Linked DNA regions of Solanum lycopersicum. The protein of the gene in region 2 binds, or shares a complex with, the protein of the main gene of each other region. Links are inferred from orthologs where the notes say so. Each region holds a gene or a part of one and is shown on either strand. Other genes may lie near its edges.

Region 1 (9,696 bases), on a different chromosome or scaffold from region 2:
AAGGTTTTAAAACAAATCATAAATATTTATAAAATTATATTTTAAAAAAGAGCATGAATTAGTTCGGGATGTATTACTTCTTTACCTTTAATCATGAATTTCTAATTCAATTTTGAAAGAAAGTGTCCTTCTAAATAAGCGGCTCAACCTAAATTTAATTGGGACTTCGATTCGGACTCGAATAATTTTGAATGTCATTTTCAGGAATCTATAATTTCATCGTGTTTTACTAGTGTTTATGATGATTTTGATATTATAATTGGATTATTAATTGGGTGAGGTTTAATTAGTAATGAGTGAGTAGTGGGTTGGTTAATAAATTATATTAAAAAATTATAATTATAATCAATAGTTGAACGCCAAGTATTTTTAAAAATATTTAAAGAGTTAAATTTTAAAACAATTAAAAAAAGTGGTCAATTTTGAACCCAAAGATGATGACAAGGGTATTTTGGAGCCAATAGCTGGATGAAAAGGGCATTTTGGAGCCAATAGGTGGATGAAGGGTAATTTTGTACCATTTTGAATACTTTAAGGGTATTTTAGGCCCTTGTCCGTAAAATAAATATAATAGCTATTGTTTGATTTATTTGTGTTTCATAGCAAACTGTTTGTCAGTCTCATTCTCCCTCATATTTTCGCTCGTCACTCTCTCTCTCTCTCTCCCTATCGCTTGCCTCTCTCGCTTTATACAATAGAATTGTATAAGTTGTGTTTCTAATCATATAAATCGAGAGAAAATTGTATATACACATGTAAATACATATATTTTTGTCATATACACTTATAATTATACAATAAAAGTACTCTTCCGCCCAAGTCTCTTTTGTCTCTCTCCTTCTCGTTTTATACAATTTGATTCAATTGTATATTCCCTGCCCAAGTCTCTTTTGTCATTCTCTCTTTCTCATTTTATACAAATTCAAATTGTATATAATCGTCTTATACACTTATAATTATATAATTCATTTTATACATTTCATTTTATACAATTTTATGCCCAAGTCTCTTTTTCTTTCTCATTTTATACACTTCGTTTTATACAATTCGCTTCAATTGTATATGTATAGCAAATTATACATATATATGTTTGCTATTAAATATATTTGTTACAAAGCGCAATTATATGAACTTTGTTATAACATACAAATATAAATTTTATATATGCTACATGTGAAAATTATCCTACATAAATTTGAACCGAAATAATAATTTTATCACTTTTTCTTTTTAAAAAAATAAAATTAGTTCGAAGTTGTGTCCGAGCCCATATACCACAGCGGGCAACAGATTATAAATCGACTTTCAAATCCCTATTTATATGCCAAAATTTTGGTTCATAAGCTCCATTAACGCTTCGAAAAAGAACTCGACGAGACACTCCAAATTGCGTATTCGAGAAGATTAGCTCAGAGATAAACCCTAAATCGCAATGGAGAGTGCGTTCGCTAGTGCCTCTGCGATCAGCGACCAACGCCAGAAAATCGAACAGTACAAGCACATTCTGTCCACCGTTCTTGCATCAAGCGATATCCAACAAGCCAAGCAATTCATCGATCACAGTAAGTTTTTCTCGTTGTTTCATCATAATTTCGCTGTTAATTTTTTGTTCATGTTCTATAATTCTCAGCTGAAATAGATGTTCGAAGATTCATATAGTCAGATTGTAACCGGTTTGAGATTGAGAGGTTGTTTGATTGAGATTGTGTACAATTATGTCGCGCCAGTTATAATCTCATCACAGTTTTGCTGTTAATTTATGTTCATGTTTTATATTTCTCAGTTGAAACAGATGTTAGAATATTTATATAGTCATATTCTATCTGGTTTGGGATTGAGCCATTGGTTGGTTGAGAATGTGTTTGGTTATGCAGTGCAGTTACTGCCTCATTATAATTTTGCTGTTAATTTATCTTCATGTTGTATATTTCTCAGCTGGAATAGATATAGAAGATATATATAGTTAGATTCTAACTGGTTTGAGATTGAGCCGTTATTTTGATTTAAGTTTATTTACGACTATGCAGTTCAGTTACTATCTCATCATAATTTTGCTATTTATTTTGCATTCATGTTTTATGTCTCTCAGCTGAAATAGATATAGAAGATTTATATATTCTCATATTCTTACTAGTTTGGGATTGAGCCGCTGTTTGATTGAGATTGTGTGTGATTTATGCATTGCAGCAACTATTTCATCTCAATTTTCTGTTAATTTTATGTTTATGTTGTAGATTTCTCGGTTGAAATAGATATAGATGATTTATATAGTCAGATACTAACTGGTTTGAGATTGAGCCGCTGTTTGATTAAGACTGTACGATTATGCAGTGTAGTTACTATCTAATCATAATTTTGCAACTTGTTTTATTTTTCATGTTGTATACGTCTAGCTGAAATAATATGTATAGACAATTTATGCAGTCAGATTCCAGTTGGTTTGCGATTGAGCCACTGTTTGATTGAGATTGTGTATGACTATGCAGTGCAATCACCATCCAGCTGTCTAATCTTAATTTTTCCTGTAATTTTTATATTCACGTTGTATATTCTCAGCTGAAATCTAAATAGAATATTTATAGTCAGATTCTAACTAATTTGGGGTTGAGCCGCTGTTGTTTGATTGAGTGTGTACATTATGCAGTGCTATCGGATGACGTGCCCTTGGTGGTATCTAGACAGCTATTGCAGACATTTGCCCAGGAATTCGATAGATTGGAACCTGATGTTCAAAAGGAAGTAGCACACTATACTCTCAACCAGATACAGCCTCGTGTGGTGTCCTTTGAAGAACAAGTATGCTTTGATATTTCTATTTTGTTAATTGTCAGATTCTTGACAACTCCTTTGCAGCCCATAGTGAACGATACTTGGACTTACATTAATGCCTTATATATCTCTAAAATTTGGTGCTTCAGAATGTCACTAGCATCAGTTTGTCTTTATTTTGCTTTGTCTGTTGCATCAGGTGGTGCATATGTATTTGTAAGGGTGTAGCATTTGGATGTTTGTAATTTCATTTCTTAAAACTTCATAAGAGAACAGCAAGAATGCTCTATCAAGAAAAAATACAGAGAGGAACATGGTATGAAGAAAGAGAATTATTGAATCAGCATGACAATATCTCTGCCACCTAAAGAGAAGGCCTGTTTTAACGATTGAAATCACGTTCTTTTACTAATTATGGGATGGGAAGTACTTATCAGAAAAAAGGATGGCAAATTTCCAAATAATTGTCTTTCAGAAAGTAATCTCTTTCTAATTGACCATTAAAGTTAGCATCTCTATTTTTATTAAAACCAGTTAAAATAATAGGCTAGAAAAGAATTTGAGTGTAGTACCAGGAACTCAATACACGGGCCACAACCCACATTGGGACCATGGGGTTGTTTATTATGAAGTGTGTTTTTTGAGTTGGTGTTGGATGGAACTATTGCATTGACACCTTTGATTCCTTTTCGATGGAAGTGATTTTAAGAACTGAATTTTGTGAGAGTGGGCTAGCGCCAAAGTCACAGAATTATTTGTTTATCTTGGGATTAAAAAGTTTTTCCGGAAATCATAGTTATCTTAAAATTTGATGTGTGTCTTGAGTATTTTAGTTTTGAGAAAATGGTACAAATGAAGGTCAAAATTGGAACTCAGCATATTGTCTGTTGTCATCAAGAGATCTCCACATACAGGTTCTTTTGATCTTTTATGTTTTTACTGCCCATTTCTAAAACAAAATCCCATATTTTCAGGTGTTGATCATTCGGGAAAAACTTGCAGAATTATATGAGTCTGAGCAACAATGGTCAAAAGCAGCTCAGATGCTTAGTGGCATCGATTTAGACTCTGCAATGAGGTCTGTGTTACACTTCTACTTATCTTTGCTTGCCTGCTGCTGTGTCCCTTAACTTATCTTTGGAAGCTGAAATTTCTATCTTCGCACTGCTTCTTCTGCAGATTCGTTGATGATACATTCAGAATTTCAAAATGTGTCCAAATTGCTCGTCTCTATCTGGAGGTTGGATTTTTCTTTTTCTTTTCTTTCTATACTTCTAATGCCAAGTAAACATATCCAAGTTAACGATCCTTGTTTGGTTTGGTAGTGCACCTTTCAACTTGCCTGACAATTGATCTGCTCTAAAGAGGAAGAGGCGAAATCAATTCATCAATATATGTGCTGGAGCGACCTATCAATTTTTTTAGTTTGGTTAACTAATTGTTGATATTTATAAGAAAACAATTAATAACTTGCTAGTTTGAGCTATAGGGCGTTGTTGTAGTGCAAGCGTATTGATTACGGGAATATTATACAAAAGGCTTTCTTAAAAATTCTCATAGAATCTAGAATGAAGTTTTGATTCTATACATGCCATATCATGAATTAGTAGCTGCTTCCAATTAAAAGAAATTCTAATTGTGTTGAACTTTCCATTTTTGTAGTAGTTATGGAATCTTCATGAGTAAACTATAGTCCACACAACCATATCTCCCAATTGAAAAAGATAATTACTACATGAGACAACACATTAGATAAAGGAAAAATCTTTCGTTCTTTCTTTTTTATTTCTATATTATATAGGTATGTACAACTTTATCATCAATTTTCTTTACCGATCAAAAGTAGTTTCTAGTATGTTTGCCCAAACTGCTTCAAACACCTAAGGAACCACCAAAAGTTTTTTCTACAAAAAAGAGTTTTTTCTTAGCTGCACCTAAGGGTGTAGCCTAGTGGTCAATAAAGAGGGTTGAGAACTGTGAGGCCTTAGGTTCAATTCCCAGCGGAGACAAAAAAGCTAGGTGATTCTTTTCCATTTTGTCCAAGCCTTGGTGGATTGCATTACCAGTACCTATGTTGGTGGGATGTTGCAGGTATCCCGTGAAATTAGTCGAGGTGCGTACAAGTTGACATGGAAACCACAATTTAAAAAGGAGTTTTCCCTAGCTCCTTCCTTCGCGAGGAGGTTCACAACCCTGCTTAGCGCTCGATAACTTGAATTTTCTGCATAAGATCTAGCAATTTAGTTAAGAGTATTTGTGGTGATAGATATTCTCTCCAATCACCATTTATTTTTCGAAGCACACCACCCTGCCGATTCCCCCTGGCTTGGGTTTCCTATTGAGGATCCGTCAATGTTAAGTTTGTTGGTGTTCCCCGGTTAGAAATTTGGTCTAGTTCTGAATCGGTAAATACTTTCAGGAACGTTAGTAGGTAACAAATGAGTATGCACTGATTTTTTTAAAGAAAAAGGTAACAAATGAATATGTAGCATGTGAGCTCCTTTCTATGTGGCATTTATTCTGCAAGTTGTACCGATGTTGTCTTTCTTCTTGATGAGTAAACCTTTTACGGTTCTAATGTGACTTGTTAACTAGTGTGCTATGTACATTCTAAGTATCTTGGTTTCCTTTCAATTGTATTGTTCTGCTTACTATCAAAAGGAAAATTAGAGTTGTAGATTTGGTTCCTGTACTGCTACTATGCACCCTGCTATTGTCTGCTGTTTATATATATGCATTGATCTGAAAAAGTTCAGTCTACTTCCATTATTTTGGTTCTCTTTGGCATTCTAAGTTTCTAACAGTGTTCCAATTCCTTCTTTGGCAGGATGATGATGCAGTTAATGCAGAAGCGTTTATAAATAAAGCTTCCTTTAAAGTTAACAACATTAAGAATGAAGTATTGAATTTGCAGTACAAGGTTGTTATCATATGATCTAGGGCATTTTTTATTTTTGAGCATGTCACTGTCACTGGCTAATATGTCAACTATTTCCTGAATGATTATTTCAGGTTTGCTATGCTAGGATTTTGGATTTGAAGAGAAAATTCTTGGAAGCTGCCTTGCGTTACTATGACATTTCTCAGATTGAGAAGCGACAAATTGGTGACGAGTAAGTCTTCCAGAAAATACATCATGTTAAAATAATGCTTCTCTCAACGATTTTTGAGTATTTAAAATTGTCTGGCTAGTGAGTGCGTATTATATATTTGCAAGCTCTTAGGAAAAGGTAGCGGACACTTTAACTCTTGTTCTGTGTATATGGGCAATATAATCTGCAATCCAAGCGGAACTGATAAGGTCTACGGCTTAGGAAAACTAAGAATATGCTTATGTTCCAAGATCAAAGGTTTAGCTTTTGTCTTGAATAATGTTATACACATCCTGATGTCTGTGATCTTTCTTGGTACTATGCCTCCTTTATTTAACTGAGCACAGCATGAAGCTTAATGATTCTTTACGCTACAGAGAAATCGATGAAGCTGCCTTAGAGCAAGCTCTGGCAGCTGCTGTGACGTGCACAATTTTGGCTGCAGCAGGTCCTCAACGATCTCGTGTACTTGCCACACTGTACAAAGTAAGGATGCAATGACTTAGAGCTTTAAATGTTTTGATTGTTATTGTCAAAGAGTGCAACTAATGGGCAGGTTGTTGTGGAAGTTATCTTCTGTGGAGTTGTTGAATGAATGATTTAATGGTATTTTTATTTATTTGAGTATTGGGATTAATATTATCATGGCTGTATCTTGAATTATTGAAGTTAGTCATGTCATTTGTAATTATGATGTTATAAGCTATAATCCTTTCCATCCTTATGAGGTATGGTAACCGAGTAAGGTCTGCGTAGACCCCCAGTTGTAAGATATATTCCTTTCTGGAAATCGTGGGCTGCTAAATTCAAAGAAGATTACGCATTGCCTTCTTCCTTAAGGCCCCAGAGTTCGCATCTTTCTTGCGCTTCTCACTTTAGTAACACTGTTTGTAATAACTAATAGCTGTATGAACTTCTAATTCAATGGTTTGATATTTGCTCTCGTTTGCCAAGAATGTGAGACCACTCATGGGAAAGGGCAGGTGCATTGCACCAAGGAAATGGTAACAACTAACCACAAATAGGTGATTTTATATTTGGTGGACATGTCATTCTGTTGTCTAATACCTGCTAAAATTTTGCTGTTACCATAACCTTTGAAAAATTGAGGTTAATTAGTTTTCTCCGGCAACTTCCAGTTGAGATCTGCCACTATGTAGTCATATTTGTATTTTTTTAATGGGTCTCAAATGACTGCCTACACTGATCCCCTCCTATGTGCTATTTGTTCAGTTTTGCTATAACAATTTTTCTTTTTTACTTATTTTGGATAACAGGATGAGCGTTGCTCCAAATTGAAAATCTACCCAATCTTGCAGAAGGTACTTCACTTGCTGCTTCATACAATTTGCATAGTTCTGTCTCCACTCTCTTTACTTGTACCGAGTTGCCTGTATGCTATAACCTCTTTGCATTTGAGTGTGGATTTTTTATGTGCATATAGTGTTGTGTCAGATTTTTTACGTATATACTATTTTTAATAAAATTAAGTTTTGTTTAATTTGAAATATTCAGGTATATCTAGAGAGAATCTTGAGAAAACCTGAAATTGATGCTTTTGCAGAAGAGTTGAAACCACATCAGGTTCCCCCTTTTTTTGGGTATTGCTTTTTTTTCAAAATGTCAAAATACAAGATCTGATATTCGCTGTGTATCTTATTTTTTTGTGTTTCTACAGCAAGCACTTTTGCCTGATAACTTCACAGTTCTGGATCGTGCTATGATTGAGCACAATCTCTTGAGTGCTAGCAAACTTTATACAAATATAAGGTAGAAAGGAAGCTTATCTTTCCCTTGTTTTTTGTGATTTAGATTTTTCATAGCTCATGCTTTTCTATTATCTCAAGCTAAATCCCCTCATTAATCTGTGACAGTTTTGATGAGTTGGGCACTTTGTTGGGCATTCCTCCTCAAAAGGTACCTAATGATGTTGCTAAGCTATTTTTCTTAATTTTTGCTGTTCTTGGGCTAATTATTTGGGTTTTGTTGTCAACCCACTAGCCCGAGTTGATGCATAGCAGTTGCGACTGTTGTAGGAACTATACGAAAATAGGATGTTTTAGCCTTTTAGGGCGGTTCGTGGCTTGGTTAATCTATTTGCAGTAATTCTTAGTGGTCCCCTCTGGACCATTTATTGAGCGACATTTAATTTTCAAAGCAATTATCAAATGAAGAAACAGATAAATTGTTCTCTCATGCTATGCTGCAAAAAGCATATTTCCATCATCCTACTTATGCATTGTTTCTGGGTAAATCCACAAGTCAAGTTTAAACTGTAAACGCTATTAGGATGATAGAGAAGGTGATATTATTTTAATGCATTTTTGAAGTTGATTCTTAGCCTATGCTGCTCAGCCTTTGAGGTCTTCTAGTAGAAATCTGATTTTGAGAAAAAGATGCTGCTTCACAGTATTTGGACATGCCTCTCCCATTCTCGCTTGTTGATTTCCATTTTTAATGTACTAAGATCAGTTTGCTGTTGTCTTGCCTGACAAGTAATTTAAACACCACACAACCAACACAATCTTACATGTCAAATACTGTTTTCTTCAGTGTATTTGGACATGCATCTCCCATTCTTGCATATTGATTTCCATTTTTATGTACTAAGATCAGTTTACTGTTGTGCTTGTCTGATAAGTAATTTAAAACTCCATGTAACCAACGTAATCCTTCATGTCAAAGTGTTGCCATCACTCTTATTGCTTTCCATGGCTGTTTTGGGTACCAAAATCAATTAACGACTGTGCGGCTTCATTTTCATCTGTAACTTATTCTGTTATAACAATTATTGTCATGAAGGCTGAGAAAATTGCTTCAAGAATGATTTTCGAAGATAGAATGCGGGGATCCATTGATCAGGTAAATTTCTCAATTAATAATGCCATCTACTCATTTCTATCTTTGTCCTTGAAAAGAAGAGGAGATGATATTGGGTCATGACTTGTCACTGGCTAACTTTAGGTACAGAGTGTCCATATATGCCATATATACATACTTGAATTCCCTATGCCACCCGTAATGCTGATAGTAATATGCCTGGATTGTAGTTTGATGTGGAAGATATTATCACATACGATAAATTTGTTTTTAACCCATTGTATAGTAATTATCAGTGACTATCACACGAGATGTATTTAACGAGCAATATATGCAAATAATAATATCAAACTGGATAAATATGGTTGGAGACAAAAAAATGAGTTCCATTGTAGTTTTAGCATCTATTAATTTAAGTTGATTTTATTGTCAGGTTGAGGGCGTCATACATTTTGAGGATGACACTGAAGAGCTGCAACAATGGGATCAACAGGTGATTTAGTTTCTAACATGCTTGGAATCTACTTTATGTTTCTTTTCTCATGGAAATCTACCTCTTCCGTTTGAAATCTATTATTATGTCTCTAGATCTAAACATATTCATCAGAGCACTCTTTAATTTGTTGATAACTTGATCAAGTTTTAATATATGTTATATAACATTTTCTGCTCGCCATCAACACCGAAAAAACATTTTTCATGAAAAATGACTTTCCTTATACCAAGCTCCGTCTTTCTTGTTTTCAAGGTTTTATTATTGAAATGATACTAGTGTTGACAACATTGCTAATCTTTGCAGATCATGGGCCTTTGTCAAGCTCTCAATGATGTTCTTGATAGCATGGCAAAGAAGGGGCTCCCTATTCCTGTCTAGTTCATTTTGTGGTCATTTTTGAAGAATCTGGTACGATGCTGATGCACTCCTTCCTCATACCATTTACTGGACTGGCGCCACTCTATACTTTCACCAGTTTTAAAACTTGGCTCGGAACTCGTCTCTTTAAGTTAGATTTAT
Region 2 (10,264 bases):
TTCATTCACATATTGTAAAATTCTTTAGAACATATGTACACAGAGAGATAGAGATGAAAAGATTAAAGTAAATCTAATGGAGAACCCTACCCTTTAGCCTTACCCTACTATCAATAAGGGCTCGTTTGGTGTGAGGGATAAGCATAAATAGTCCTGGGATAAAAAATTAGTCCAAGGATAAAATTTAAATGTGTTGTTTGAAATAACTTTTACCACCATTTATAGCATAGTGATGGGATAAGTTATCCTATATACATGGTAGGATAAGTTATATCCCTCCCAGGATATCCTGGGATAACTAGTTTCCAACCAAATAACCCCCAAGCGATGCAAAGTAAAATTTCCAACCTATTTATGTACAACATTACTAAATTTTAATTTCACCCTCCCTCACTCGCTAGTATTTTAGAAACATCTCCCTTATGTAGGTACAATTGGTGCAGATATCCAAATTGCTGGATGGAAATTGGCATTCTTTTGCGCATATCATGACATCCATCATTAGTACCATGTGCATAAGTTCAAATTCATTCCAACTTTATTTGGAGTTTGAGATAACATTTAAATTCTTAAAAAGCCAATCAGTAGCTATAGCCTATAGCCACCACATTGGACAGAAAAATTACCGTCTAATTACAAGTAAAATGTAGAATATCCATATCCAATGACCGAAGTAACAGAAGTCTTACCTCTTAATTGATGAATCGATATGTTCAATCATTCCACACGTTTTATACTGCTCAGGATCCTCCAGAAATCTAACCATACCATCCTTCTGATTGATTGTTGCATATATCTCACCATCTTCAATCTATAACCAAAAGTGAAACATCAGCATTTCAAGTTTCAAAGTTGAAGGCTTACACAATCCAAGATCAAAAAGCAGGATACCATCTGAAGCACATGCATTTCTGCCTGTTTGGGGTCTCTTAGCTGGACAGTGTTAGCAATATCTTGGAGGGAGAGAGTTAGGTACGTTTGAGTTAACCGCTGAATATTGCGCTTATACATAGAAGACACTACTTGCATCACTAATCCAAGATTATTATCCTGAAAATATAATGAAAAGATTGTTACAACTTCCACAAAAGATGGACTAACATGGGAGTTTGGGAGTTGAGAACTTTGCACCCATGCTCTTTCATCTTAGCTGCTAGAAGATCAGGAAATGTACCAGTTTGACCACAAGAAAACTTACGCTTTCAAACTTCTCCTTGTTTGTTTGAACAAATGTTTCAAGTTCAGAGATTCTTCCAGTCCCATAACTGTTTGATAACTCCAGGTAGGGCTGCTCAAAAAGAAATAATAAGTAGTTTATGTTATATTCCACACATAAGGACCACACATGACAGAGAATTATCCTTGATGAGGCGTCTCTTCAGTCTCCTCCCAAATTGGATTCATTTTATATTAGAAAATATTGTTGGGATTTCAGAAGCTTCCAGCTGGTCACCTTATTTCTTCGCTGAGTACACTAAACAGATTTTGAGGACTCTAAACAGTGACTTTTCCGATACACGAAAATGCGTTCTTTCTTTCACTTCTATTAGATACTGATATATTTCTTGTTTCATTATCATTTATGTAGTTTCATGCCTAGCCTGCTAAGTGCTAATACAAAATATGCAATGCTTATACTTTGAAACAACACTTGAATCAGTACAAGATTTCTAACATCAACATTGTAACGCCAACTGTGCATACTTAACTGAGCTTGCATTGTCATCAAATCATTTGAGGGAAAATATTCCTTTCAATTTGCTTTGGGTGGAACAGTCGGTGCTACTTGGAATCAATGTTTGCACAGTTGAAATAATTACCTGAGAGAAATTCTTCAAGTTCCTTTGAGCCACGGAAGAAGTGTACTTGGGAAAACTGGTAGAGAACTGCCATGATAAGCAAACCTCAATTTAATCAGGAGAACGAAAATCAGCAAGAATAAACATCGGAAACATGACCTATCATATTCTTTTTTACTTTGTGCATATTTGTTGTTGTTTTGGGTGAGGGGGGGAGGGGGGTGCTTACATCTCTACTCAAAGTGCATATTACAAGCCAAAATCATTTTAAAAAGTTGACACATTGTGGCTCAAACTAAACGAGTCCATCGGTGATAATATCATACATAATGTAAAATAAGAAGGTTATACGGCAGTGCAAGCTCAAGCCCCAGAAAAGACACATAGATCTCACAAACTGTTGTCCAACAGAGACGTCACAAGAATATTGACTAAATATTATCACCAAAAGTATGTAAAAAATGGTGGCAAAACACACCTGCCCAAGATGAATCAGTGAAACCAGAATGTACTTTTTGTAAGCTTCAACTGCTATTGCATTTAGAGTAGACATAGGTGCAGTCACAACCTAGAAGCATAACAGATAGAATCAGCACAAACGGACAGATATAGATAATATATAGTAACTTGCAAATAGGGAATAACAAAACCAAATACCAATAAAGGAAACATGGAATGAGAACACAGTAACATACATTGTGCAAGAGTTCCAATGCTTTGCGGAACTGCTTTTGTCCAATGCAAACCATTCCCCTGTTATTATGTTCAAATTATAAGACATGTCAACAAGTATAAGACACAAATCCAGAAAAATCCAGAAAGCGATAGAAAGATTATATCAGTGACTTTTTTAATTAAGAAAATATTGAATTACTCAATCTCATTCTAAATTGATACATCACTTGTGATTCACATTGCTGTTAAGAACTTTGTCTTTAGGTTGGAGAACTAAACAATATCAAAGGTAAGAAAGGCAGACGTAGATAATTGTATACCAATACCATGGGTTTTTGAACAAAATTAATTCTTTCACCAGATAACTATACAAGCAAATACAAATATTCATAGGCGAGTAAAGTTCCTCTTTCCTATAAAAATTAGAAAACACACTGATAGGAAAGCATGATTTAATGAATTGCCATAAAAAATATTCCAATTTTTTTTTTTAAAAGTCACAGAGAAATTTAAACAAGGAACGGAACAAGGGAACGACACCAACACAACTGAAATAACTTCTAAGCAGAAAGTCTGAAACAACTAACCCGTAGTAACAATAGAGAAAAAACTCCCGTGGCTGATCAATCTCATATATGTCATCCTCCAGCACAGAGAAGCCAGTTTTGTAGCACTTTGCTAATAGACAAAGAAGAAGAAAATCGGCATGCAATGTTGTTAATTGCTCAGGGGAGGATTGCAGTTTACGAATAGCAGTCAGCATTGGAGCCACACCACGAATCGGAGTTTCCAGTCCGAAAACATGATCCTTGAACTTTTTACAAACAGAAATGACTGCAACCACAAATTGAAGACGTGCCTCAATATAAGTTAGACCAGAAACAAGAATATTCACAAAAGCTATTCCAGAAACCAGAGAAAATTACACTTATTGGGCGCCAACTGGATTTGCTCTGTAGAACATGAATTGATAAATCTAGCGACAGAAACAAGCAGTTCACTAACATGCTCCTTTGCAACTGGGAATGAGATGCATGCCTCCCTGTTAGTTAACAAACACAATTATATGATTAATACACACTAGACAGAGTACAAAAGACAACGCGCACTTGTTACACAAATACTGGTCTTTAATTCAGTGGATGGTTCAATTCTGCATTATTTTTATAGATTATGTAATCAATCAATCAACTATGCCTCAATCCTACATGTATTGGTGTTGACCATAACAATCCTCTTTGTCAATTAGCTTTTCTTTTTTCATAATCACCGTGGTGTCCACCAAGCTAATTCCACGCGTACCAATACCAGGTGTCCAACAAAGTTAGGGCAGATGGGAAAAAAACACCTGCATTGGGATTTTAACATGAAACCTCATCGTCCATAGCCCACGATGACTAAGCCACAGCCCAGGGTGTTTTAATCAATATATCTATATATATAACCTAACAATGGCTAATTTAAACAAATAATAATCTTCAGAATAGAAACCCTAGGTTTAGGTTATAAGAATAAGAGATGAGGATGAAAAGGAACTTACAGAATATAGAGAAAACCTAGGGAGTGAATAGAAGGATCGAGTTCAGCGAGAGAAGAAAGCAAGCGAGAGAAGTCGGAATGGAGTAGCTCTTCCGATTGTTTGAGAAAGTTGTGAAGCTGAGTTATGTCTGATGAATTGCTCGATAGCCCTTGGATTTGAGCAACCACTGATTCCATTGAATTCATGTTCAGATTCATCTCTCTCGCCCAATCAACACACTTATGAGTTTCAGCAGATTCACGTCTAAGAGACGAGGCTTCAACTGGACTGGGTAATAAATAAAAAGAAATAATTGGGACTTCTTTTATGTCCAGTTTTATTTCTCTTATATAAATTAAAAATAAAGAGCGATTGGGTTTTCATCTATTTTTATTAAATTTAAATTTATATAAAGAGATTACAAAAACTTCTTTTTAAAAAAGAAATTATTAAACATTTTAAAAATACCTAAAAATTATTTTAATTTTTTTTCTTCCATTACATATAAAATTGGAGGAATAAATTATTTCGAATTTGACAATCAAATAATACATCAAAATTTTTATGCATAAACTAATTTTTATTCTATGAGTACTTAAAGACACGAAAGACCTCTTTGTGTCCTACTCCTACCATGTCTTTTTTTTTTTTTTTTTTCGCGATAAAAGCTTTTTAAAACTCACAAATACAAATGTAACATGATATTTATACGACATAAGTCACAACTATTATTGCTCATTGTTGATTAAAACGCCTATGAATTGACAACATTGTAGAGCAATATTTTTCTATAACCACTTCCAGATATATATTGGGTATACAATTTTCTCATAAAAAGCCTTTTCGTGTATTTGATGTTAAAGAAAATTGGAGTAATAGCTTTTCACAAGTGGTTAAATTGGGCACCAGTAGTAGTTATAAACCAAAACATTGACAATAAATTCAACTAATTCCTGATAGAAGACATAATAGTTAACAATAACCTAACTTGCCTTCATGTTAAGGAGGAAGAGCAATAGCTAGCAAAGAAAAGCGCTCTTCCACTCATATATACTACCAAACATATATAAAAGCATATATGTCATGTGATTGTTTCCTCTGGCTACTATTTACCAACACAGCTCTCTTTGTGAACATATATATATAGATTCAGGACTCAGCTTCAAAGGTCTGCTTTAGTCTTGGGAGTTTTTGCAAAAGAATGTCACTGTAGGCATCATCCTGCCGCACATCTATACAGCCTCCTGATTTCAGAACCTGCGTGGAAAATAAGCATTGTAAATAATTCACAATGTATATATCTTACGTTGGATTATATTTACGTAAAACCAGAGACAAATGCGTAAAATAAATTCATGTGTCCGTCCATTATAACCAATGTTTATAGGCCAAGAAACACGGGGGCATTTAACAACAATAGAACCAAAGAAATTCCTTTTTAAGCACCACCATCTAGAGCACATCCTGGATGCTTGACAGAAGGGAAACAAGGGACAAAAACTCCTGCTGAAAGCGCTACTCAAAATATGTATCAAATAATTCCGTTCATCCACAAGTTCAATTTGGCAGACCTAAAATTACCAGAAAGATGAAAGGAACCTAAAAACAATACCAGTATCTCGTAGAACACCCTTGCACTGTCTCCCTTTGTTTTCCCCTTCATAAGCAAGGACAAGTTGACAACTTCTACCTCCTCCTTCCCCTTCCGAGCAAGGAAGTTTTCAAACAGGAATTTTGCGACCTTTCTGCATGCAAAAAGCCAAAAATTGGATCACCGCCAAAAACAGAAGAAATGAATTTTCACAAATTTCTGAGAGTCATAACCAAAAGATGCCACAGACAAGGGGATGCAAGAATTGAAACTGAGATCCCTTATTCATCATACCCTGTTCTCAGGGAATATTTGCCTGCAACCAAGACAACAACTTATGAGAATGGCAACTCAATTGAAATAATATTGCACCACTAAAACAGTACTTCCTTACATTTTCCTGAGGTATCCCCTTCAAATGAATTGATCTCCTGAGGAAAGAGCGCATTTGTTGCAGTTAGCACTTATTAGCATTGCAATAACAGATACAGACAATAGAACTTTTTTATTTCCAAAAAAAGTTAATAATCATCACAATACACTTCAGTAGCTGAAAGCAATTTCCTTTACTTATGTAAGCAATCAGACTAGTCAATCGTGTCATACCTCGTCCATTAAATTCATTTCAAATTCTACATCCTCCATGGAAAGTGCTTCTTTCTCTGTGATTTCAGCTGAACTTGCTGGTTCTATGTGTGATTTAGAAGTTCCTTGCGTATCATGAAATCTCAGCGAACTTGAGCCAGTGACAGGTGTTGTAGGAGCAATAGGTGTTTGTTCTCCATCATATCTGAGAGTATTAGGAGATTCAGGTACACCCACATGCAGAGATGCCGCAGGAGCATCAGGTATTTGTTCTCCACATCTGAGGGTACCAGGAGATTCAGGTAAATACTCATGCATAGATGTAGCAGAAGCAATAGGTATTTGTTCCCCAGATCTGAGTTTATAAGGAGAGTCTGGCATGTCCTCACGCAGAGGAATTTCTACTGTTTCTGCAGGCCCATGCTGTGCTGATCTAATTTTGCTAATTGCTGATGCAATATCAATCGAAAGACTACCTGCATTGCCACAGTTGGTTAGTTAAATTACCTAAAACACGGAAATGGCAGTGGCAGTGTTTGAACCTTTACTCACAAGGAATAAGAGGCTCCTCAAAACTCTGAGGAAGTGAGGAAATTTTATGTACTTTCCATGCAAAATAACTGGAATGAGGGGATTTCCTTCTCTTGCAAACTAAGTCATTTGCATCGCCAATCCAGTGCTTGAATACCCTGCATGTTAGGGTTGTGTCACATCAATCTCTTCTAACTATGCGATGAACTTAACTGCACTAACTAAAGAAGGTTACAACAAGAAGATCCTGCATACGGATATCTTAGTGCAATAGGTTGAATAAAGAAAAGGATCGTACTCATTTGGGATCACAATAGATTCATCAAATATGCACTTCCGCTTCCTTGAAATCCGCCTACGCTCCTTCTTAGCTGGGGTGCGAATAGATATAAAATCCGGTGATGTAGATCCTGAATTAGAAGAAAGTGATGTTGGTTAAAACAACAAGCATTTTAGAACATGATTTGCTTGGGCATCTGAAGGGACAAATTAGATTGTGTCCAACAAGCAAGCAAAAAGGGTGAGAAGGGGCACACATATTCCTTATTTTTTCTAGGTGAAGGGGAAAAAGAGGGGTGGCAGGTGCAGCTTATTCCATTTCCGGTCGGATTCAGCTGTTCAACTAAAAGATATGTGAAAGAACAAGGTAAACCAGATAAAGGAATCACCTGCGATCTTGGTCTCTGGGGATACATCAATACAGAGGGACACTGATCGATCAACTTTAGTCCGATCCTTCCCTTTCCTCGAGGAAGATGCTTCAACATTTTTCTTTTGCTCAAAACCACAGTTTTCCACAAGAGATGATTCACCAAGGACTGCTGGTTGTTCATCATCTACATTCACTCCTACATCAGGGTGTTTTAAGAGCTCACGAGTATGCTGATGAATTTTCTCAGATTGTTGATCGGTGTTGATTTCCAATGTAGCTTCTGTGATAATCATCGGTTCTGCGTGCTTTTCCAAAGATGACCTCTTTTCATAAAGATGCTCCTCGTTTACTAAGTTCCCAGCACTCGACTCTTTCATTTGCTCATCACCAGTCTGGTGATCAGCTTTCCTATCAAAGATCATCTGAATTTCAATGTCCCCAAAGGTCATTGGTTCAAAGCGCTCTTCCAAGGAGAATCTAGTCTCATTAAGGTTCCACATAGCTTCCACGTGGCTTGACCCAACTGATGGGTTGAAGTCCAAATCTTTGTCCATCAGGTGAGGTGAATATATGCTATAACATGAAATGTTAAATTCTTAGCACTAGCACTAGATCTAATTAAAGAGGTGCGAGATCAGTGCATACTCTCTAACTGGAGTGTGATTTGTGGACTTCAACTCTGAATGAGAGACACCTTCCTCATACTGAAAAAAGCAGCTTATATGTCATGTATGCAAGAATATCCACAGAAAACAAAGCTTGAAGTTTTTCATGCAGCAGTACCAGATTGAGAGATAGAGACGGGAACACCCCAACCCCAACACCCACACAAAATGAAAGTAGTAGTTATGCGAAATTCCAACCAACCCATGCCATCATCAGGAAAAAAACAAATGAAGGTGACTGCTTACGGCTCTAAGCTAATTCTTATTCAAGTATCATCAGAAACTTGAACCAGTTTGATCCATCAAATAACTTCTTCAAATTAAACACAGCACCACTAACACTGTCCAGTACTTGTTCAAAGAAAAGCAGTTACGTGAATTCGTGAATCCATGATGTATCTTGACAAGTACAAATTCCACTAACCACTTTGCAGATAATAATTTAAAATCAATCAACTGATTCGATGTGCTACACCAATCCTAAGGTTCTAACAACATATAGCAAAGAGTTTAACATAAACTATGAGATATTCAGGGAAAACAGTAGTATATCTTGCTAAGCAGTGATAGTGGTATTAAGTGAACACAAAGCAGAAAGTGATTTATGCTGCCTTCTTTTGTTGGAAAAGTTTCAAAGGCCGAGACATGCTGTTAACAAAACAAACCAAAGAAATGATTATACTTCATAAAATGACTACCTTGCAAGATGAGCCAAAAACTAAATTTTCCTGAGCATCTGAAACAAAAAGCAGAAACTCTCTTTTAAAAAAAGTAAGTGACATAAAGCCGAAAAAAGTAACCATGAATTAAAAGACAACAGAAATGTACTGTACCGGAAAGCGTGATTTCTTCACGGGATGCGAAATGACTACTTCAAAACAGTTTGTTGCAAACCAAGATTGAAATAATTAAACCCCAAACCGACAATCAGAAAAAACACAAGGAGAAAGAGAAAGGAAAACATACAAATTAACATGGAAAACCACGTCATTCATGGAAAGTATTTATTTTACCTGTTTGCGTCTTGATCTTCCAAGACTTCCAGATCAAAAGTATCCAGTTCAAATTTCTTTGGTCGGGTGATAGAGTGGACAGGAGCATGCATACCCGCGATCCTTACAACTGATGGTTTACTAGTTGGTCTATTGCGAGTTGAAAAATCAGCAAGGTTAACAAGAACATTATTACAGTCTTTGAAAAGATACTCCACTTTTTTCGAATATATTCTAACCACACCCAGGAGCAGGTGACCTAAAATTCTGTATGTGACCACAGGAGCTTCATCATGCAGAATTTTCTCTGAGCAAAGGAAAAACCAGTAAAGCAAATCTAAATCACTCAAGAAATGATTAAAATTCTTAATGCTACTTTTATGTGCATCGTGCTGCAATTAAAAAAACAGAATCAAACAGTGTCAAGAATCTGAAATAAAAAAGATCCCAAGACAATAATCACATTCATTACGTATATACACAGCAATTCATAAACATGTGAACGTAATCAAGATTGCAAACAACAACAACATGCCCGATGTAATTCCACAAGTGGCGTCTGCAAAGGATGGTGCATATGCATCCTTACCCCTACCTTACGGAGGCAGAGAGGTTTCCGATAACCCCGCCAAAAACAGTTACCTAGATCATCCAGGGAATTCACAGAGACAGCATTTAACACCACCTATAATCACCCAAGTTTGCAGCAAAGGTTCACAATCCAACATAAAGCCAGAAACCATTTTCCGTGGCTCGGAAGACATGCTAATTTCCAAGTAATTAATATTTTACACTGAGTCTTGTGAATTCCATGTTACAACTATAGCATTTGTTACAGCTAACACTAGAAGTTGCAAACTAAGTGAAATTTCCAAAAAAAAAAAAATGTCAGTCACACATGAACCTATTTCACCTTCATGACCAAAACCCCGATTCTATTCTGTGATCAAATCACATTCTTCCATTCATTAGTTTACCCACGAGGTTCAACGAGAAGCTGAGCACCACAATATTCTTTCTTCTCATGGGGGGCATTCTACTAGGAAAGAAGATTCCTATAAGTGGTAGTACTTAATTGGGGCATTGTGGTAAAATTATTTGCCGAGAGAGGTCTCTAATGACCCAACGACTTTCCGATGTGATTGACAAGCAGTGGTTTACGAAAAATCTAGTTTAAAAATGTATGGTTTTAGCACTCAATTTGAGCACAACTGTTCAGCCATCCAACTATATGTGAAAAATAGAAGGCTATAGT
Region 3 (10,264 bases), on a different chromosome or scaffold from region 2:
ACTATTTTCTATAATTCTACCAAGATATAAGATATGATTTAAAGGACATTGAACAATAACTTTAGTAACATATGGTTGCAAAAGAATCATTTTATTAATTCTGAGAACTAATGAAGGATAACTAATGCTCAAATGGAACATGTATGACACTATTATACTTTTAACCTATCAAGGATGATTAACTTATTGCAATATTCACATCATCATCAAAACATAAGTAAATCTTTCAGTAAATAATTTGTCAATGCCAAAATAGATATTTTATAACAAAAATCCATTCACAATACGAAAAGGAAATGTAGACATACCCTTTCCCCTGTGTCTGGCAGCACGCTTCCTGGGGAGAAATCCCAAAGAACCGTGTCTTGGGTGCTCAAACTTCCTGTGAGACATCCTTCTCCTCCTTCAACCTGTAACCAATGAACACATATCAATTAGCTCACAACACCAGTAAACACACACAAATAAGTAATAAACGCAACTAAAAACAGTCAAACAGCTGTGATTTTCTACAATGTAAAACAAATTCATTCTGAAAAAGAGTATGGATTATTGAAAATTTGAAAAAACCATTACAGATTTACGTACTTGTTAGTTGATACAAAGAAATGAGCATGCATAAAAACAGGAAGATTAAGGGAGAAAATACCTGCAAGGGACGGCTACTGAGGAACTATGGGGGACTCGCTCAAAGTGAAAAACCCTAGTGAAACATTTAGGTTTATATAAGTAGCGAAGTTGAATGGGCTGGATTTAGGGATTATTGGCCCAGTTTCTTTTAGGTGGGTTTTCCCGGCCCAGCTCCAATGACTTTATTTCATTTTAAAAAATTTGAGAAAAAATTGTTTGACTCTAGATAAACAAAACGTGTTACATAAATTAAGATACAACAAATACTTATATACTTTCTAACGTAACAGCAAAATACTCAATATCAGAGTTTGCGTCTGCACAGATCCAATATGTAAATAATATATTTTTTTATTTTTATGTAATAATATACGAATTTTTTTTGATGTTCAACTATAAATAATTGTTGCTTTTTAGAAGAATTGAATATCGAAAATTATGTTTTATCATAAAAAATGTGACTTTTGTTTCTTCGATTATTAATAAAAGTTTAAAATCAATTTCAATTAATATTCACGAACAAACAAATCAAATTCCGATATATTTTCACTTTGATAACAATTATTTATTTTTTTTTGCAAATTACAAATTCTTTAATGGCTAAAACTGCTTCTAAATTTAAAGATAAAATGATCAAATGCTTAAATTTAAGGGAAAATACCCAAGTACCCCCTCAACCTATGTCCGAAATCCCAGAGACACACTTATACTATACTAAGGTCCTATTACCCCCTGAAATTATTTTATATGTAATTTTCTACCCCTTTTTAGCCTACGTGGCACTAGTTCGGAAAAAAAAGTCAACCATCGTTGGACCCACAAGATAGTGCCACGTAAGCTAAAAAGGGGTAAAAAATTATTAATAAAATAAGTTAAGGGGGGTAATAGGACCTTAGTATAGTATAAGTGTGTCTCTGAGATTTCAGGCATAGGTTGAGGGGGTACTTGGGCATTATCCCTAAATTTAAAGATAAAATGATCAAATGCTCCCTTAATCTATACTTAAATTTTCAACTACACATTTGAATTTCACCGGCATTCTCTCACCACCTTGAGCTGTTAAAAATAAAAATAATTACACCCCTAAAAAGTTACAATCACATTTATGTTGATAAAGTGAAATGCACGCGTTTGACAGGTGAAAAATTTATTAAAAACATTTTTTTTCCTTATTGATTCGTCATGTAAAAACTTTGTTGAAGGTTAAAAGATCAAAATTTATAGATTTGTGTCTTTTGATCTTCTTATTTGAATTTTGTTGATTATAATGTTGATTTTTATCTTCACTCTCTCAAGGAGAGTGCAATACACTCACTTTGTCATGTAAGCATGTCGGGTGGTAATAATTTTAGTTTTAAACAGTTTAGGGGTGATAGAACTCCCGTGAAGGATAAGTATATAGTTGAGAATCCGATCATAGCTTAAGGGGGAATTTGACCATTTTCTCAAATCTAAACAACTAATATCTATTACTATACAACGCCATAATGTAATAACCTAGATTCATATCAAAGTAAGTATTATATTCATTACTATTATTTTTTATAATCGTGGTCTACAACCAATTATTGAATATTTGTTATCTTCTACCAACAACAAGTATCATTGTAACTCCATTATAAATGGAAGGGCAAAAAATTATTATTTAAGATTTGAACTCGAAACTTCGTGGTATTCAACCTACTCCAGTAACCGGTGAGAATAATATAAATAATCAAGCTTTATTAATGACGTAAATGTTATTTCAACAAAATTATTTCTTTTTCTTTACTTTTTCGTTGTATGGTAGACTAACAATAATTTGGTGTTTTGGACATATAATTTCATTCCTTGATTTGAAATCAAGATATGAAATTAATATTTGGAAATCATGAGAAGAATATTGAAATTCTCTAAAAACCTTGATTTGAAGATTTCATATCATAATTTTGTATTTTTCAAATATAAAAATTGATGCACAAATTTATATTCTATAACAAAAATATCAATTATTAAATATTTATTACCATTTCTTTGATATTGATATTATTATTATCCTACTAACCTTTAAATCATGTACATCAGTTGTAACTTGTCACTTTTAAGTTCTATCACTAAAATAATTAGATATCATTACTCTTATCCACTTTTAAACCATTTATATTTGAAAAAACATACCCAACATAAATTTATATTTAGAAAATAGTATACTCATACTGAATTTTACTTTATTATTGAACCAAAATTTGTTTCATCTCGTGTTTCTTAATCTAATATACTAAAATTAATTATAAAGTTAAACTGTAATGTCCAAATAAAAATACGTTAGTCAAACATTTTACAAAGTAAATGTCCCAACTATATACTTCAATATCATGTAGTGTTGTCCTTATTTTGGTGTCAATTTTAGTTTTTGTTCTTAAATATGATGTTTTACTAATTTATTCAATATAAATTTTAATACTTTTATCTCACCCACTATAAAAATCCGTAGAACCTAAATTATACGATATAAATTAAATTATATTTTTTTCATAATTTGTTATGATGTTTAAAAACTTGTTATAATTTGTTATGATTTTTTTCATAATTTGTGAAGATAAAGAAATTTGATAGATAATATGGGATGATGACAAGATATGTGTGTAAGTTTTTGTGTGTTATTTAAAAGAAACACATATTATCCCTCCTGGCATACGAGGTATGTGATTTACAATATAGGCTCGTGCAATATTAACATTTTAATATATATATTAATTTATAGTGCCTTCTACGTAGGAAATCATAATACAATCATGGAGAAAAGACATAAAGTTGTCACTGAATTTGTCACGTATTTTTATAAAGACCCTTGAACTTTGAAAGTGTCCTATCTCCCAACAAAACTTTTTAATATCTTTGTAAATGAGCCATTTTGACCCATTTCCTTGTTTGGGTTGTGACCACGCACATAAATCTGTGCTACAATGCTTTCACTGTCATTAACCAGCTTAAAAGTAACACATGTCGCTTTATTTCTTTATTATTAATTATTAATTTGTTTACCTTATCTTTCCCAAATTTAAACTCAAAATAGCCATTGATAGCCACTCTTTATGATTTCATTTTTTTTTCTCTAAAGCAAGATCAGATACACTCTTTTTGACAAATACATAATCTTCTCCTAAAGCAATAATGTAGGAATTCTTTCTCTTTAAATTTTCAATAAAATGGTTTTTTTGGGTGTATCACTAAAAGCATCAGATTCAATTTCATTACTAAAAACAATGAAGAATAAAAGTTTGAGAGTCCTCTCAAATGTTTAACTGAAAATACACTACTCAGGAGGACAATATAATTAAAAAAAGGCCGACATTAAAATTATTTATCAATCTTCAACAAAATTGTATTTCGAAAAAATGACGTACCAATTCAAAATACTTGATTGGAGAAATGATGGCGAGTTGAGGTCCAAGCTTCTCCTCTGCAGCTTTCTTTGCCTTAACTCTAAGTTTTTCCAACTGCTTTCTCCTCTCTCATATGCTGCCTGAGCTCTGTCTTTCCTCTTGTTCTCGAGTTCCTTGAAAGAAAAACAAGAAAATCTGAAAGAATTGGAAAGCTAACTAATAACCAAGGAAAAAAAACATTTTTCTACTTTATAAAAAAATTAGATTGGGCTAAACGGATCAAAAAAAATGAGCATCACGCGCAGTAATCAAGACAAGGAAATGAGTCAAAATGATTCATTTACAAAGATATTAAAATTTTTTATAGAGTGATATAACACTTTCAAAGATAAATTATCTTTATAAAAATATAAAACGAACTTCAGTAATAACTTTATGTTTTTTCTCTACACGTAAACAAGAAACAAGAAACATGTGTCGTGAAAAATGTTAGTATTTTTGTTATTTAGTATCCGGATATGAAAATCACCTTTAAGTAGCCCAAAGGCCCAATAACCAAAAGCCGAAACTATTTAATACATTGTAATTCCGATCACCCAGCGGGGAGTCGGTGACGGAGTAGAAGGAGAATCGACGACGAAAAAAACAGTGCGCTTCAATGGATACTTCTCAACTCAACGAAGCCTTGGCGTCCAGCTTCTACGACAAGATTGCTGATATTTGTGATGATCTCATGCTCCAGGCAATTTCTCCCTATTTTTTTCTCTTTATTTATCGTCTTTCTAGTGTAGTTCTTTCAGTCGATTTAAGAGTGAAACCTAATGTTTCTATTCGCTTTATTTGTATTCATAGGGTGCCGCTGAGGGAATCGAATTTCAAGATGAATGGCCGTACGCGATTCACCTTCTAGGTCATATTTACAGCAATGACATGTAATCTCTTATTTGCAACTTTACTTTGGAATTTTAGGGTTTTAAGTTGGATGATGTTAGGGAATTGATTTAGAATTACATTGTTATTGTTTTACTTTTGCAGTAATAGTGCGCGATTTCTGTGGAAGAAGATACCTGCAGCTGTAAAAGAAGCCCGACCAGAGGTGGTGGCTGTTTGGAGGATTGGGCAGAAACTTTGGACAAGGGACTATGTCGGTGTACATGAGGCTATTCGTGGATTCAGCTGGAGTCCTGAGATTCAGCCCTTTGTGGCTTCCTTTGCAGGCAAGTTTGTTTATCTTTATTCTCCATAGAACAAACGGTAGAGACTTAGTTGATCATCCTTTTTTGTTTAAAATTTGATTGGCTTCATTTAATTCTAGTCGTCTAATCAGTTCTGGTTAGAAGCTTTACATACTGTACTGTATAAGTCCTAGCAACAGCCCAAGATTTGTTTTTGCTTGTCCAATCCATAGGATTATAGGGTTCTGAATGATGAAGATGAAAGAACCCATTGAGTAGGTAAAACGTTGAATATGTGAACAACTAAGACATAGCATCTCTAAGTTATAGTGGTGCAAGAGGAGTGTCACCTCTCGTTTTGAAATAAAAAGGGAGAAGTTAAAGTGAGTGTTGAGATTTTTTACCATTGTCAAAAAATAAAAGTGTTGAGATTATATTTCGAAGGTTCTATCTAGTAAATTTATACTATAGTTGGCATTTGGAAGGAATTAAAATTCTTTTCTGTGCCTGTCAAAAGCATAGAAGGTTTTGCTGCTACAACTAAGAATTGTGACTTATAAGAAGTGCCACTTTGCCAAAGGAGTCTAGCCTCTCTTCTGGGTTAAGATAGAATGTGGATCAAGTAAAGGATTAACAACAAAATTGCCATTGTTGTGAATTAGTAGAATCTATGGATCTGCACAAATCACATAGTTGGGCTGCAGTCAAAGATTAGCTATTGGAGTTTGATAATGGCTTGAGACTACAATGATGTTCTCTGATCTTATCTTGAAGTCTAGTGCCCACTTTCAGGTAATCATCTTAAGTGGGCTGGTAGAATTGTTCTCTACAGGTCAATACATCTTGGTACAACATCAAAAAATTTGAAAATGATATGTTTTGTTAGCAAGGCCATTGGCTGTTTGGTATGAAATAGTCAGTATAAGCAATTATTTAGTATGGGTTTACTTAGGATGTATTTACTGGCGTGATCCCCTGAAAGGAGATCATAATGGTGATGCCTTTCCCAATCACAACGTGTCAATTTCGTTCCTGGTTGATGTCATGATTGTTGGATTGTTGGTTGCAGTATCATCTCCATGCTTGAATCTTGATATGTATGTACTTATTGACCTAGATAATTGTGGATAATGCTCCTATTATGTCTCCCCATCCTATTTTTCTTCGTTGTTGATTTTGCTGTGTGTTCTTTTTTTGTCAATTACTCCTTATATGAGTTGGACGAGCTTAATTGGTTCTTTGTTTTCCGCATGCGCAACTTTGACAAGGCGTTTTATTTACTAAAACAAGGACTGTATACTCTTTCTTTGTACACCATTTACTGATGGTGAATTAGTTGGAGTCTTGGGTTGTTTTAATTATTGGGTAACTCTCCAGATTCATTGAATTTATTATATACTTGACTTTGGGAAGATAGCTATTGAGGAAAAATATCTTTCCACATATAAAGGATAATTTGGCATGTAACTTTCTACTAATAAGACACACAGTAATACTAATTCCATCATATTGCTTTCATCCCACCTATATAAAAAACAAAACTATACTACTACATTTTGGTGAGAGGTCAAGGATTAAGTGATAAACTGATGTAGACATATACCAAAAAGATTAAGTGATTACTCAATCTATGTTGAAATGTTCTGTCTGGAGGATTGGTTATGGACCTGTGGTAGACAAAGCAGCATAAATGAAGTTGTTTTCAGACCATGCTGATGGAGAGGAGCGCAACAGAATTTTCAGCATGCTTAGTTCCGACTCTAGGATCTTCTGTTGTGGTTAGAAGTAAATTAGTTTAGTACTATTTTTGTGTTTTGTAATTCATGCAGCATTATATTTTTGTGACGTCAGGTGAAACTATACTTCACCAAATTATTATTTTCTTCTGCCATATTAATTGGGGCTGTATTTGTAAGAAAATAAAATGATTGTTAGCACATTATTGTAGGGGGTGGTGGTTACATATATCCTTAATTTAAGTTGGTTATTTGTTTAAATATTAGACCACATTGCTGGGGAAATGTCCGAATAGTTGCTAGCAATTTTTTAAGAAAAGCTTTTACACAAATCTGTGAAGGGAGCCATATAATGTAAACATAAACTTGAAGAAGTTCTTGTGCCCCATTGTTTTCTTTGTGGTTTTTCTATACAGGACGCATAGATATACATGTGGGTACTTATTTTGCTGTATATTTGATTTTCATATCATTTTCATCCTTCTGCAGAATTATACAGAAAAAGGATGTTCGAGCTCCTTCTTTCCGCTTATTCAACCATTAGCACACAAGACTCAGCTCACTTCCTGGGAATGAATGAAAATGATGCTACAAACTGTAAGTTTTTATCTACAGCGTGCATGCTTGTAGTCGTAAAGTTCTTTTTTGTGTACATAAGAGGACTAAATGAACTAGTGTCTGTCATAAGGAATCCTTGTTGTGTCTGCAAGGAGAATCGTCTCCATTCTCTTCATTGTCTAGCAGACTATAATTTGGACTTGATTGGTCAGGTATCCTTTCACCTTTCACCTTTAAAAGTCATGCTAAAATGTTACTTTCTAAACCTTCTGAAAAGGCTCTCTCATATCTCAAACTCTGCTCTTTGATGTGTTGGTAGTTGTTCCTTTATCAATTTCACACCCCTGGCGGGGGGAGTTTCTTAACATCTCCTTTAGTTCCTCTGATAGGATTAACCGATACATCTGGGATGCCCATCAATTCAGCAATTAGGCTAATAAATTGTCCTAATTTTTCCACTTATGAAAAAAAAAGAGTCCTAATTTTTCCAAATTCAACTTTCCATTAATCTTAATTATCCTAATGAGGCTATCTAATCTTGCAGTTGGCACTTCCATTAATGATCAATTTGAACTTTCTGATAGAGAACAAGTGAACTGATTAGTTTTGGAGTCATACACTGGTCTAAACTGTAATTTGGAAAAAGCTAATCTTATCAAAAGTAACATTGTCTTCGATTTTCCGGCAATGAAGTGAATTAATAGTACTTCCAACTTTCATGTAGCTCAACTTTAATAGCAATCTCTTTGGTGGATTGAAGGTGATTATTGAGTTTGAAAGGGTATGTAAGATAATTCTAATATCAGATCGATTTGTTTGAAGCGGTTAACTAATTAAAATAGGTTCACATACAAATGTTAAGAAGCACATACAGTGAATTCTTTCAAATGCATATCCATTTATCACTGCATCCCAACCACAATATGTTCATAAGTTTTCACTGTTTGGTAACAATAAGTTTGTCGTCTCCCTTTCAGATGTGCTGCAACAGGGTTGGGCTTTGGATTCGGCATCTCAAATGCTTACTGTGAAGAAACAAGCAGTTCTAACAGAACAGAAGTTAGACCCCAGTAAATTACAGCGCTTGACTGAATATGTCTTCCATCTGGAGCACTAAACTGTGTGCTGACTCTGCCATTAGGTGCTTTTCTTACTCAAAATGGTTGAAGAAATTAGCTTGCTAAATTTTATAGCAACAGATCTAAGCATGGATTTACTACCATGAAAGTCGAGAAGAGTACAGTTTTTGAGAAAATTTCTTTGTTAAGGGGCATTAGTAGATATTAAACAATGTTGAACGATCTTCTTTTATTTTAATTTTCATTTTTTCTATTAAGATTCTCCATTCCGTTCCCTGCTCTGGTGGATGTATTTTGAACATTTTGCATGGAAGAGCTTCAGGTTCCATTCATTCCTTTGAACAAGTATGTTATGCATATAGATACACTAGCCAAAACACCCATCCAGTTCCCAAACTGAGTTTTCTCACCGAGTCAGCATTACATAATACGGCAAAAACATGTGTTTCTATATACACTGAAGCTTTCAAAACATTTTGGCCAAAAATAATGGTGTGAACATCAAGCAGGCTTGTAACCAGGATACGCACTCACATTTTATATATAAGTTCTGCTTACGGTGATGCCCGCTGAAATTTTGTTATCGTCGAGTGAATCATCTCCTCCTACATTGGGGTCGATCACCATCCTCAGCAGCACTGGCCAATAAAACTGTCCCATTACACCTGTAACGTTAACTGCCCGGAGGTAATTATACGTTACATCTGGGAAGCTTGCAAGAATTTCATTAACAGTGTCCCAAGGAACCCAATCTAGCAATTCACCAGAAAGATCACCAGGTACGTCACTATGAACTTAAAACTGAAGCTCTAGTGAGTAAGAAAATAAGAAAGTGTGCGCAAAGAGCCCATGCAACCTCGACTAGTTCAGATAGGTAAAGACGTTTAAGGCATTTAAGAGCGGAGGGAAGCTTAGTTGGTACTTCACCTGGTCCTGCAAACATAAACTAGCTAGGCAGGAAGAAAATGTCAAAAGAACAGGATGGTTTAGAAATTGGTCCTGCATGAAGGGCCAAAAGGTGATAGATAGAAAACGTTAGTGAATCGAACTGTAGGTTCCCCCAAGTGTTTGATCAAGCTTCAGCTGTGACAGTCTACACCAATTATATCTCCACTTCTTCGATAAGATACTTGTCCGCAAACACAAAAGTATCTCATCTTACTAAGTACATCAAGAAGTAAACAAATTCTTTTCTCCATTAGGAGTCGTCATATGCCAGAAAAATCTGCAGAAAACACGAAAGGTAAGAAGTCGCTTAGGTACATGTTTTCTAAGTCTACTAAACCACAAACAGAACCATAGGCGTATGCAGGATTTCAAAAAGAGGGGTGCAAACTATTACGAAATAATGGACATGAGATATGAATTTGATCGATTTAATCTTTAGGTTCTTTTTATCAATGAATCTGTTAAACTTTAAAAATTATAGGTTCAATATTATTTTTTTAATATATTCAAATAGTACTAATTTCTATATATATAGCTATATTTCCTACTAAAGGTATTGAAATCGGTTGAACTTCATCTTGATTGTATGCTATAATATCATCTAGTACTACAAGTTTTAATATACACATTAGGTGCAAAAATTAAATAAATTACACTACTACAAATATAGGAATTTCTACTACTTAGTTAGAGACGTTTGATTTAAATTTCTTAAAAGAGGTGCACCTGATATTAATCACACTTCGCATTATATATACTTCAAGTATAAGTTC

The links.
Region 1: CSN3 (region 2) and CSN4 share a complex: the UniProt entries of both Arabidopsis thaliana proteins name them as parts of the CSN complex. The link is inferred for Solanum lycopersicum from reciprocal best matches to the Arabidopsis thaliana genes COP13 and COP8.
Region 3: the proteins of CSN3 (region 2) and COP9 signalosome complex subunit 8 are in contact, whole or in part, in a cryo-EM structure (PDB 9IS6), measured with the Arabidopsis thaliana proteins. The link is inferred for Solanum lycopersicum from reciprocal best matches to the Arabidopsis thaliana genes COP13 and COP9. Residues at the interface, in NP_568296.1 of Arabidopsis thaliana: Asp121, Leu123, Arg124, Pro128, Ala157, Lys158, Gly193, Leu194, Lys195, Lys332, Glu335, Met336, Leu339, Gln340, Ile342, Gln343, Ala349, Leu350, Ile351, Asn352, Gln353, Lys354, Asp377, Ile380, Gln381, Ile384, Lys388; in NP_193147.1 of Arabidopsis thaliana: Met26, Leu27, Ala30, Ser31, Gly33, Ile34, Glu35, Tyr36, Asp56, Phe60, Arg64, His89, Tyr91, Leu125, Ser128, Ala129, Tyr130, Ser131, Thr132, Ile133, Thr134, Asp137, Phe141, Met166, Arg187, Glu190, Tyr191, His194.

What each region holds. Positions count from the first base shown.
Region 1 is NC_090803.1:66,279,562-66,289,257, forward strand, and holds the start of CSN4 (COP9 signalosome complex subunit 4), read left to right. Parts: upstream 1-1,323; 5' UTR 1,324-1,432; coding exon 1,433-1,562; intron 1,563-2,644; coding exon 2,645-2,796; intron 2,797-3,743; coding exon 3,744-3,847; intron 3,848-3,948; coding exon 3,949-4,009; intron 4,010-5,596; coding exon 5,597-5,689; intron 5,690-5,781; coding exon 5,782-5,882; intron 5,883-6,238; coding exon 6,239-6,347; intron 6,348-7,138; coding exon 7,139-7,183; intron 7,184-7,376; coding exon 7,377-7,445; intron 7,446-7,539; coding exon 7,540-7,631; intron 7,632-7,735; coding exon 7,736-7,778; intron 7,779-8,663; coding exon 8,664-8,723; intron 8,724-9,114; coding exon 9,115-9,174; intron 9,175-9,480; coding exon 9,481-9,555; 3' UTR 9,556-9,696. UniProt on the Arabidopsis thaliana protein: Component of the COP9 signalosome complex (CSN), a complex involved in various cellular and developmental processes such as photomorphogenesis and auxin and jasmonate responses.
Region 2 is NC_090801.1:70,961,500-70,971,763, forward strand, and holds the start of CSN3 (COP9 signalosome complex subunit 3), read right to left. Parts: upstream 4,486-10,264; 5' UTR 4,212-4,485; coding exon 4,015-4,211; intron 3,517-4,014; coding exon 3,401-3,516; intron 3,309-3,400; coding exon 3,062-3,308; intron 2,553-3,061; coding exon 2,495-2,552; intron 2,368-2,494; coding exon 2,278-2,367; intron 1,887-2,277; coding exon 1,821-1,886; intron 1,289-1,820; coding exon 1,199-1,288; intron 1,051-1,198; coding exon 892-1,050; intron 812-891; coding exon 690-811; intron 1-689. Other genes in the region: sister chromatid cohesion 1 protein 2, read right to left, coding at 5,143-5,250, 5,606-5,738, 5,879-5,900, 5,979-6,015, 6,191-6,645, 6,722-6,858, 6,999-7,110, 7,369-7,925 and 4 more. UniProt on the Arabidopsis thaliana protein: Component of the COP9 signalosome complex (CSN), a complex involved in various cellular and developmental processes such as photomorphogenesis and auxin and jasmonate responses.
Region 3 is NC_090800.1:89,065,282-89,075,545, forward strand, and holds COP9 signalosome complex subunit 8, read left to right. Parts: upstream 1-4,514; 5' UTR 4,515-4,653; coding exon 4,654-4,737; intron 4,738-4,847; coding exon 4,848-4,927; intron 4,928-5,030; coding exon 5,031-5,212; intron 5,213-7,395; coding exon 7,396-7,503; intron 7,504-8,441; coding exon 8,442-8,581; 3' UTR 8,582-8,875; downstream 8,876-10,264. Other genes in the region: RPL3 (ribosomal protein L3), read right to left, coding at 309-393. UniProt on the Arabidopsis thaliana protein: Component of the COP9 signalosome complex (CSN), a complex involved in various cellular and developmental processes such as photomorphogenesis and auxin and jasmonate responses.